Mytilus edulis: one gene and its partners. The protein of the gene in region 1 interacts with the protein of each later gene in a pairwise test. Links are inferred from orthologs where the notes say so. Each region holds a gene or a part of one and is shown in the gene's direction. Other genes may lie near its edges.

The links.
Region 2: the proteins of small glutamine-rich tetratricopeptide repeat-containing protein beta-like (region 1) and soluble calcium-activated nucleotidase 1-like interact in a two-hybrid assay, tested with the Caenorhabditis elegans proteins (2 studies listed by BioGRID). The link is inferred for Mytilus edulis from reciprocal best matches to the Caenorhabditis elegans genes sgt-1 and apy-1.
Region 3: the proteins of small glutamine-rich tetratricopeptide repeat-containing protein beta-like (region 1) and metaxin-1-like interact in a two-hybrid assay, tested with the Caenorhabditis elegans proteins (2 studies listed by BioGRID). The link is inferred for Mytilus edulis from reciprocal best matches to the Caenorhabditis elegans genes sgt-1 and mtx-1.

Annotation. Positions count from the first base shown.
Region 1 is NC_092344.1:72,092,191-72,095,951, forward strand, and holds the start of small glutamine-rich tetratricopeptide repeat-containing protein beta-like, read left to right. Parts: upstream 1-1,059; 5' UTR 1,060-1,154; exon of another isoform or gene 1,155-1,186; intron 1,187-3,761. Other genes in the region: probable splicing factor, arginine/serine-rich 7, read right to left, coding at 622-761.
Region 2 is NC_092352.1:32,466,919-32,470,679, forward strand, and holds the start of soluble calcium-activated nucleotidase 1-like, read left to right. Parts: upstream 1-1,384; 5' UTR 1,385-1,501; coding exon 1,502-2,078; intron 2,079-3,761. Other genes in the region: ribosomal L1 domain-containing protein 1-like, read right to left, coding at 983-1,009. UniProt on the Caenorhabditis elegans protein: Hydrolyzes UDP and to a lesser extent GDP. By preventing the accumulation of NDP, may promote the reglucosylation of incompletely folded glycoproteins in the endoplasmic reticulum following the unfolded protein response.
Region 3 is NC_092347.1:61,937,182-61,940,942, forward strand, and holds the start of metaxin-1-like, read left to right. Parts: upstream 1-1,290; 5' UTR 1,291-1,335; coding exon 1,336-1,419; intron 1,420-2,765; coding exon 2,766-2,841; intron 2,842-3,761. Other genes in the region: ADP-dependent glucokinase-like, read right to left, coding at 898-1,070.

The DNA of each region.
Region 1 (3,761 bases):
CAGGTGCCTCATGTGGAGCAGGATCTGCTTATCCTTCTAGAGCACCTGAGATAACCCATGGTGGGGTTTGTGATGCTTTGTCTTTAGTTTACTATGTAATGTCTTCTGTACTGTTATTTGTGTTTGTATTTTTGTTTTTTAGCCATGGCGTTGTCAGTTTATTTTTGACCTATGAGTTTGAATGTCCCTCTGGTATCAATTACCCTCTCCCTTGGCCTCAAGTTGAGTTCATGTTTTGGCCTACACAGAATAACATTGCATTCATGTAACAACTTTTCAAAAAAAGTCTAGCAGTCAGTATGACATATACAATTTGGCTAATTTACGAAGAAATTTGTGCTTATGCAAGTTATGGGCCTCTTTATATTATATTTATAATGAGAACGTGAAATATATGTCTTGTTGTAAGTTTCCTCCTGTGACATAATCTTCAATTTGTTGAAGGCGGTCACTATATGGTAAAAGTAGAAGAAGTATATCTTGCTCAAATTGTGTTGAGCTGAAACTATTAATTACACAGTCACTCGTTTCTATCCATGGTAATTTCCACTATCCCCCCAATGATAGAAACAAGTACCTGTGTTACAATGGATACATATGTTAATATTTATTTATTCTTACTCAATGGTGGGATACATTTTAAGATCGTCTATTCGCCCGATGTATGCAAATAATGTCTTCATTTGATCTTTTGATGCGTTCTGGGCAATGTTAGCGACCTGGATAACCTTTGTGGTTATCCGGTCGTCTTTCCCCGCCATCGTCACAGTTTTTTCAACAGTATATTCTCAGCTGGAGTAGAAAACGTTTCCAAAATTGATAAAAATGGACGCCTAATCTGGTTTGGTATATTTAGTAAAAAATTTGTATTGCGAGCTACGAAAAACAGTAATTGTACCAGACCTTCCTTTAATGTCGTAATTGGTATTTTGACGTAATTGTGCATTATCCTGCTTTTATATATCTGGTATGCAATTAAATTATAAGAAAATCAAAATCCTTAAAATGAAACACAAATGCTGCATTTATAAGTTATATGAAAGAATGTCGTTTTAACGTGTTCTTTTACGGCATTTGTTAAAATTGCTTCCGGCGACGTTGAAAGCAAGGAACTTCGAACTTCGAATCTTTGCATTTCACACGATCAGCAAAAGGTTACTGTCAATTTAGATCGTGTCTATTTGAAGTATGTTTTGTTATAGTGTCTTAAAATTTCTGTTGATTGTCGTTCAGATGCAAGAAAACATGAAAAAAGACGGTTTATCTCAAGACTCAACACCGTTGTGTCGTTGAAATAAAACTAAAATATGACCAAAATGCTTTCGAGTCGTTTCGTCCCCACAACCAGGTCGGCCCCAGGTCGATTCTGCCAGTACAATTCGTCCTCACTGGTTCTTAACTTTGTTTACTTGTTGTATTCGATTTATATGGGAAATTGGTTAAAGTTAATATGTATGTGGGAATTTCTAGCTACATTGAAGACCTGTTGGTGACCCTCTGCTGTTGTTTTTTTTAGGTAAACGGACAGAAAGTCACAGGACAAAAAGTCACAGGACATAAAGTCACAAATTTGGTAGGACAAAAAGTCACAGGACAAAAAGTCACAAATAATATGTTGACAATTGTTTGAATATATAGGAGAAATATCTTGAAATATTTACTTTTTAATACATATATACATATTAAAGTTTAGGAAATGTGTCATTATACTTGAAAAATGAAGATTTATTTAATTTTAATCATGTAAAAGAAAGATTTCTTGGCATTATGAAGCCATTTAAGAGCTGAGCCACTTTGACATTTTGTTTTCTTACCACAATTATTTGATTTACTTTGATATTTTTTGGATAAATTTTGTTTACAAAGTTAGATTTTATACAATAGTTCAAGAGAAATACAAAAATATTTTTTAGAAATAAGCGTTTTTTATTCAAAGAAAAAAAGTCAAAAAAAAATGAATTGTGACTTTTTGTCCTGTGACTTTTTGTCCGTGACTTTTTGTCTGTGACTTTTTGTCCTGTGACTTTCTGTCCTACATTCGTTTTTTATTTGGTCGGGTTGTTGTCTCTTTGACACATTCCCCATTTCCATTCTCAATTTTATGTATGTATGTATGTACTGGTAAATGCCTCAAATATCCGAAGAACCCCTCGAAAGCTGCGAGGGTACAGAGGCATCCATGTACACTCCCTATCGGAATTAATGGAGATGTGTCACTAATATATATTTATACGAACATTATTTTTACAAGGACAATCAATCCCAACCAAACACAAAGGGAGTGTTAGGACACTGGGAAGTCTGTTATTATGGTGGAGGAAGCCGAAGTACTCTGAGAAAAACCACTGGGCCACTCGGTGGAAACAGACAAACCAGAGAGATATCAGAAGATTGATCTCCAGGTCAAAGTAGGGGAAAACTTTGACCAACCGAGGCCCCCAAAGTACCCATTCTAGTTTTAAACTCCGGTCTGGGTACCAGAGATGTGTGTGAAAGGGTGAAAATTACCCTTCTGATGTACTGATATTTTTAGCACCCCCAGTGAGAATCGAACTCGGGACCTTCAGCACTGTAGCCATCGGTTCTTAACCACTAGACCACGAACTCATTACTATTAGTAATTTTAATAGTTTCATAACTATTTAAGTATTTCTCCTAATACCAGCCATGTACATATAATTTCTTGTCAGGTTACTTCCCCTTTATTGCAGTGACATTCTGGCTGGGTTGGTGGTCTATTGGAACTATAAATATGACATCACTTGCCAGTTTTAGAGCAGTCTAACGCTACAACATGTACAATTTGAAGTGAGATGACTTTGGCTCACACTTAAGGAATTGTTACAAAGGAGAGTGGACCAGCAATGCAACCACTGTATATGAATTTTTAAATAAACATCTTGTTAACACATTTATATAGTTAGTTCTATATCCTAGAACTTGGCTAGACAGGGACATCTAACAAGAGTGATCCTTAATACCCAACTAACTAGTTTAATGACTTTGAAATTATAGCTTACGCAAGTAAAGAAATTTTGATCGATGTAGAGCATTTTGGCCACACAGTAAAGTGACACTGCCAGTTGGGACAAAGCCATCATGACCATGATTTTTATTTTTATAAAGGGAAAAAACAATTTCTAGAAACAGATGTAAGAAACAAATGGATTTAATTTTTTCTTAATCATACATTTATTTCCTTGGATACAAATATGTGTCTCAGTATATACAAAGTGATAGGTCTGACATAGACCAGTTTTAAATTCTGGTTTGTTTTACCTCTCTTCATCATGATCATTATTTTCTGTTTGCTGATAAACATTTCAAGGAAATGGTATGCTTATTTTAGGGAACTTTGATACAAATTTGCTTGAAACCATATGCTATTAAGTTATGTTGCTTTAGAAAAAAATCAGAAAGAAAATGTGATTTTTTTTTTAAAGCAGATTAAATTTTATGTTTGTTCTAATTTTCGTCATACATTTTGTCATAAAATCGGTAATCTCTTTCAAATTTGCAGGAAATCATGTGCTCCTTTTTGAAGTTATTATATCCAAATTTGATAGAATTGATATGGCATATTTATGATTTATTGAAAAATCTGGAAAAAAATAAATTCTAAAATCATGTAGAAGATTTCCTCCTTTTAATAAAAATCCAAAAGAGGAAGAATGTTTTCCTTCTTTTGTTCAGCATCACAGTGGTATAAACCCAATTCAACATATTTATGCTTCCTTGAGCATATTTAATAAGATATGATG
Region 2 (3,761 bases), on another chromosome or scaffold:
TCCCGTTTATTTATTTTTGTTACATCTATTTCATCCCCTGCAAACTCGTAAACTTGATTGCTATACGGTGTTGAACTTTTTTGCTCAACATATTTATCCTCCGGTCCAAAATTTCTAGAATGTCATGGGAATCACTATTCCCGAGTTCTCTGATTTTAAAGAATCAAACCGTTAAAGTTGCAATGATGATTTATTTGACATTCTACAAATGGAACATTTGTAATACACTATAATTAAAGCATACAAGTTTACGGGAGTGCATGGTGGTGCGTTAAATAGCTTAAATATGCTTAGCTGGTTACCTTATAAACTAAGTGTTTATATTGTTGCTTCTGTAATAGTTTTCACTGGTGTATCGTCTGCTACCGGGTTCGGAACTGCCGGTCACCGGGATCAGAGTACTTATATTAAACCCTAAAATGTCCCGGCCGGGCCACAGGAAGTGGACCGGCGAATCCCTAATAAAAATGGCTGCGCCCATGGGAAACTATATAAATACAATGAAGATAAATAAATATGCGTAGAATGATATTATATGAATAAAGAAGACATCTAGCGAAAGCGACCACCATTACACAAAGCTATAGTTATTAAACACAAAACCAATTAAAATTAGGTACGAACATGTAGGGTGCGAACGGACCCAGATTCTAGCAAAACAGTCATTTCAGGTCAAAGCAAATTATCTCAGATTGAGGATTGGACAATTCACAAAACAGAAAGGTCCAACCTCATAATATTAAATGTAATTTACATTCGATAATACAACGAAAACAAAATGACAATGTGGGCGAATGGACCCGGTGGGAGAATGAACACGGTTTCAGAATCTTCTTCTTTTGGTATAAAAACTATCAACATTTTGAAGTAACTATAAAACTTATTAAATTAAAACTAAAAAAGTGCAATTTACAGGGATAATGGTTGGACTTGAAAATGGGGATTTGAAAACAATAAATTTTCAACATCTTGTATCATATACCTCGGTTTTCTTCACTCCTAGGCTCATATTTAAGGCAGTCAAAAACTTTAAATAAATGCCAGATTACAGTCAACAAAAACAACGTGCACAGAAAACCGGAACTTCTCGATATTTCATCGTATGGACGCTTTCAAAAATAACCTAAATTAAAACAGACGATCCCGGTTTATTCCACAAGTGAACATTTGTTTTACTCTGTTTTTTTGGATGATTTATAAAGAAATCAAATACAGTAATCACTTCTCAATAAAAGTACAATTGTTACTAGAACGAAGTAAATTAGCACTTTAACAATTTGTTTGCAATAGAGTGGTAATTTTTTATTCTTATTTGTTCGGACCCTACTCTTTAATTTTGTTTCTTCCTTAATTTTTAAACGTTTTGAAGATTATGATTTTTGATATTTTGGAACACTTCGGTTGTTTACCTAATTACTATGGACATCTTTTAGCCACGTCGGATAGAGGTGTTTTAAAAAACATTAAAATTTAGGAATGAACACTCACCAGATGGATCAAAATGCTATCAAGTCCGTCAACTGTACACGATTGGATGCAAGCAATACGTCGACCAACACCTTATAGAGTTGGAAATGCCAAACTTCATTTGAAAACCAGAACCGTTGCATACTTCATGCTGTTTTTTGTTGCCTTTTTAATCTTAATTGTCAACATTTTACCACAAAATAGTTCCAAAGAGAAATGTGACTGTTCAGTAGAATATGATAATAGATATCCTCTATCAAAACCCTACATTACTGACTATGGGTTAACATACAAAATTGCTATGGTCACAGATTTAGATACAGAATCTAAAAGTAAAAAGAAAGCGAATACTTGGCTAAGTTATTTACAGACAGGAAATTTAACATTATCAAGTGACCATAGTAAAGTTACAGTTAAACTGGATAAAATACCAGTAACACTGTCTTCAAGTTTGTCACAGGGTGGTAGAGGAATGGAGTTATCTGAGCTTGTGGTATATAATGGAAATCTTTATTCTGTTGATGATAGAACTGGCATAATTTATTTCATTAAAAACAATGCTGTTTATCCATGGGTTTTACTGGTGGATGGCAATGGAACAAGTCACAAGGGTAATTGATAATTACACTTATATACATTGTATGGACCTGTCTGACCTGTATACATCAGAGGCGGATTTAGGGGGGGGGGCTTTTCTGGGGAAAAGTTGGTTGCTTATATAGGGAATCACTGAATCGTGACCGAAGTGGGCCCACTGACTGCCTAAGAGGGGGCCCGCTTCGAACTTATGAAAAATTCTGGATCTGCCACTGTACATGGTATAAAAAGAACTTATCTTACTAGAAATCAGTGAACAATTTTGTTAGTATGATTTGAATCAGTAAAGACCCTAAGTTAACTAAAGAAAAGCCTCGGTTTAAAAAAAAATCAATTTAAAACTTCCTATGTATCATGGTAATTGAAGAACATCATAAAAATCTGCTACTATAATAAAAATATGAGTCCTGGTCAATACACCTTATTGTAATTTGGAAATCTGTTCTGCTTGACCTGAGAAATTGGACATCAAACAAAAATCACTTTTCCATTGTGGTGATATATATTTTCTATTGTGACGTCAACATTTTACAGGAGCCTTTGCAATGTCCAGTTATGGTGATCAAATAGCAATATAAAGGTGTATCCAAATGTACAATGTCTTTCAAACTGCTTGATTTTTTTACCACCTAACACGTGTACAGCTAAACATCAATGAACACCTTAAGAAAAACACTGTACACACCATAATGTATCTATTTATTTATATGAATGAATGAATGAATATTTTAATATTAAAGTGCAACCTGAATTATAACAAACAATTACATTCATATATACAAGTAATTTTCAGCCAGTCAAATAGGCTTATGATGCACTGTACATTGTGTATCATTATTTAAAAAAATAAAAAATTAACAAATAGATAAATATAGTTCAAATTAACACACAAAATAAATTTATGCACGTTATTAATTGAATTGATCAGATTATCTGATCCTAAAACAATTCAAAATAAAGTAAGAAACAAGCTTGCTGTAATTACAAAATAAATGTTTTAATTTGATGTTCGTTTATGTTTAGAAATGTTACCTGTCTTCCAAATTTGAAAAGAATATACCTACAGAATGATAATTGGATATTAACCAGATTTTGCAAAGTCTCTTGTTAAAGTATTTTTTTAGAGGTACATAAAACCGTAAAAGTGAAAAATGTAATAGTAGACATACATTTATATTGTACTATGCAGAATTATCCATGCATATTTCATATACATTGTACATGTACATGGAAGCTTTCTTGGGCTATATTGAACTGTTTTTACCTGTTAAACAGGGAAGTTACCAATGCACCACCTTGTTTTCTTGAAGTTATAGCAACCCATTACAATGCTGTTAAAAGGCCCTGTGTGATGGTGAGGCCTAAAACAAAATATTGTTTGTTTCCCCAATCCCAACCGACCCTGCAAAAACAGGGCTACTCATGAAATTTTATTGTCAAAACTAAGTCGAAAATTATTTTATTCATTTATGATTTTCAGGCTTGCCACATCGTCTGATATTGTTCAAGCTTTTTGGACAAAAATAAAATTATTTACCTACCTACCTACCCACATCTTGCTTGGCAGGGTCAGGATTGGGGAAACAAACAAAATATTAATTTAGGCCTGAGTAGACACATGTACTTGCAAATATCATGCATGTTCTACAATTAGATAAAAAGAAACATGAACAAAATTTTTTTTATTTCTGCTATTT
Region 3 (3,761 bases), on another chromosome or scaffold:
AGGATTTATAGTCTAACAATGTACTTCCTTGTATTACTGAACTAAATGAACCTATGAATGAATTAAGAATAATAGTAAATACCCAAAGCCTTTACCTTTAATAATTAGGAGGTAGTCTTTACCCCCATTTACATTTGGTTGTTAAAACGACTTTTTACAGTTTCCAATTTTGATCTACATGTACAAGAACTAGAAGGGCATTAAAGTTGTCATATTTTCTAAACAATACATTTTGAAACAGTTTATGGGCAATGAATTGTTAAATTGAACTTCCTGCTGTTAACAAAGTTCAGTTTGTGAAGTTCTAAAATAGGTATGGAAGGGTCATAAGGTTATACAGGAATAGTTGTTGCAATCACAACTACAGGAGAGTTTTTGGGCAAAAGGGTTAAATGATTTTTGAGGTATTACTTGCATATTTTTTAAAATTACTCTGGCTAAAATGGGAAAATAAATCTTGAATGTTGGGTATAGAGATATAAATGCTTTGAAATATTTAGCTGTATTAGTATCAAATAACCTTCTGATGTCAGGCAACCTCTTTTTAATTATAATGTAAAATATTTAAAATTATGACAATAGACCTGCTACAAATGCATATGTCAATCAAAATAAAAGGAAACATTGTATAATTGGTTCTTACTGTGATACATGAACATTGAGAAATATAAAATAAAGGACAAATGCACCACTTTGAGAGTCGATGTAAATTTTATGACAAGCTATAGTGAGAGCTCACAGTGTGCTTACATTTTTTATTTTAAAAAATTCACAAAAATTGGCCAGCGTTCATGACTGTCATATCATAGCATACATGCACTAAGAAGTATTTTCTGCTGGTTTAACATATGATTTGTCAGATAATGTAATCTTTGTGTAAACTAATGATTTCCTTACCCAACAACAAGTCTTTGGAATTTTTTCGTTGGTGGCTTTATGATTTTTTGCCAGGCGATGACAATTCTTGTTTCTGTTGGATTGACTACTTCTACCACTGTTGGGAACCATTTTGAATATAAAACAGCAAGAAAAATAACCACTAGAGCTACAGATAAAGTTTTGGGAAACATGATGCCAACTCAACATTCACTAACCGGTGCCCAACAACACCCCGCCGGAAAATAGAACACTAAAAGATAATCCGCTGGGAAATCGTATCTTGCCAATATTTAATACCATTTTTCATGAACTTTAAATCTCATTTTACAAGAAAATGACAAAAGAATTAAGATTTATTATAGTTCTAGAAAAATATGGATTGAGTTTTAATCTGAAAGTAGAAAAATTAACAAAAACTATTCACTTCCGGTAAAATTATTCCGCATAATTGTAAACATGACAGACGACGTGCTTAACCTTGAAGTTTGGAAAGGAAACTGGGATTTGCCATCAGTTGACAATGAATGTCTTACAGTTTGGGTAAGCAATTAGTTAATTTCTCCCCCTTCTATTTAACAACTTTGAAATAAGTCGATACACACCCTTGTAGTATTTGTTTATTGAACACAGTGCAGATTTGCAACTTTCTTGAACACATGTGTTTCACTGCGATACGGTTTCACTGACACTATGAAGCTACACTTCACTTAACATAGAAAATGAATTCGCTCTATATTAGCTGGCAAAGCTTCATGACTTCTTTATGTAAGTTTGTAGAGCAGTGGCAAATGTGCATATAAGGCACCAAATGAGGTTTTTAGTAGGATCGCATTTACAATGCATTGTCAACTGGGAATCCGGGTCTGTTCGCGCCCAATCACTTTCGCACCCAATCACTTTCGCACCCATTCACATTCGCCCCCTTTCACTTTCGCACCCCACATATTCGCACCCAAATTTTTAGAAAAAAACACAATCATACATCAGTCATATACACATATACAACAAAACATGAATATTCAAGTAACTATAACACAAGTTAATCAAAGTTTAAAAGTCTACTGTTGCGGAACATCTTCAGTTGGTTAGTCTAAACGCCCATACAGTCTGGAGATCACCTTAATGAAGTGTGTAGTTGACATTGCTATATCCATGTAAGAATCCCACAAGGTCTGTATCTTCTGTTCTAGTACATGTACTGTGTAGCGGCGGTGAACATTTCGCTCTAAGTCGACGGAACGCACACTGACATCAACAACCTCAGCTTCTTTCATCAAGTCGGAGACATTAACATTAACATTTAATAATTAATCATCAAATTAATAAAAAAAGATTCTATTCAATAATTTCTCAAATTTTATTCAAATAGAATACATTTATCATGTTTATTTGTTATATTCATATAAAAAATATCTAATAATTTAACTAAAATTTTAATACAAATTGGGCGTGAACGTGTAGGGTGCGAACGGACTTGGGTGGGGGGGCGAAAATGTGAGGTGTGAACGTGTAGGGTGCGAAAGTGTATTGGGCGCGAACAGACCTGATACCATCAACTGGTACAGTGGTACAAATGTACTAAGTTGTGGGTTCCATGATGTACGTTCCAGACCAAGTCATAATTTACAGCCCCAAATATCTTAGGCAGATGCAGCCCCTATTAGGAATGATAAACATGCAGGTTGCTGTTCATTATACTTAGTATTCATATAATTGTGAATGAGTTTTGATATATATGTATGTAATAAAAATTACCGGTAAATGAATGAATGAATACTTTATTTGCAAGAAGCATATATACATACTATGGCAAATGTAAATATAAATGAATGTATTCTGAGTTTCATTAATTCATCAGTAAATAATGCCTTTCTGTTTATTTGCAGGCATATTGTAAATTTTCTGGTCTTCCAACTAAAGTACAGAAAAGTCACCAGACAAATTTATTTCAGTCATCACTAGGTTTGTATTAAGTTAACAATTATACATAGTATTTGTACAAAGATGATATGAGTTACGATGTAGTTAATGTGACTTTATTGAAATCTGTATATTTTGGATCACAATCAAAGTACATGACATATTTTTTCTGTCTTTTAAAATTACTATGTGTTTTTTTTTGTGTATTTTATGATCGGGTTTGGAAAGAAGATTTTTTTTTCTTCATTATTTTTCTGATTGCATTCTATCAATTTTATGCAAAATCTTTGTAAGCATTTCAGGCTCCTTAATTGTTTGTTATTGTTTCAGAGGAGATATATATCAAGCAAAGGGCAAACCTAAACATGATCTTGACCTCAATTTCAAGATATGTACCAAAAAATATAAAATAAAAAATTCTATGTCTAAATGACAAATGGTTTATGTTATATGGTCCGAGACCACAATTGTCGTCCCTTGTTTTTCGTTGTTCACGAATATAGTCCCTAGTGTTGACAGTGGGTTACTTGCCATTAATTTTTATACCCCTTCCAAATTTTATTTCTCCATATTTATTGCCTCAAATTGCAAGTATGGGGGTGAAATTACACTGTAAAAACATTTGGGTCCAGAATTTTAAAGGAAAGTAGTGATTTGGTCCAGCTGAAAAAGGTTGAAAATTAGCACTTCGGAAGCTGTCAAAAGATTTCAAGACGCCCTAAACATAAAATTGTCCATATTTTGAGTTAGAGCCGATGAAGTTTTCTATAATTTTGATATAATTTGTCCCAAAAGTAGTACAACACACTGTAAAAGTTTCTTTGAGAAAGCGCAGGTGGGATTTTTTTAATTTTCATTTATGTTCTAAAAGAAATGCACTACGAAATAATTGTGTTCTCGGACCATATCAATAATGAACATACCGTATTTAGCGTAGAAGGGGAGATAACAACTGTAAGAAG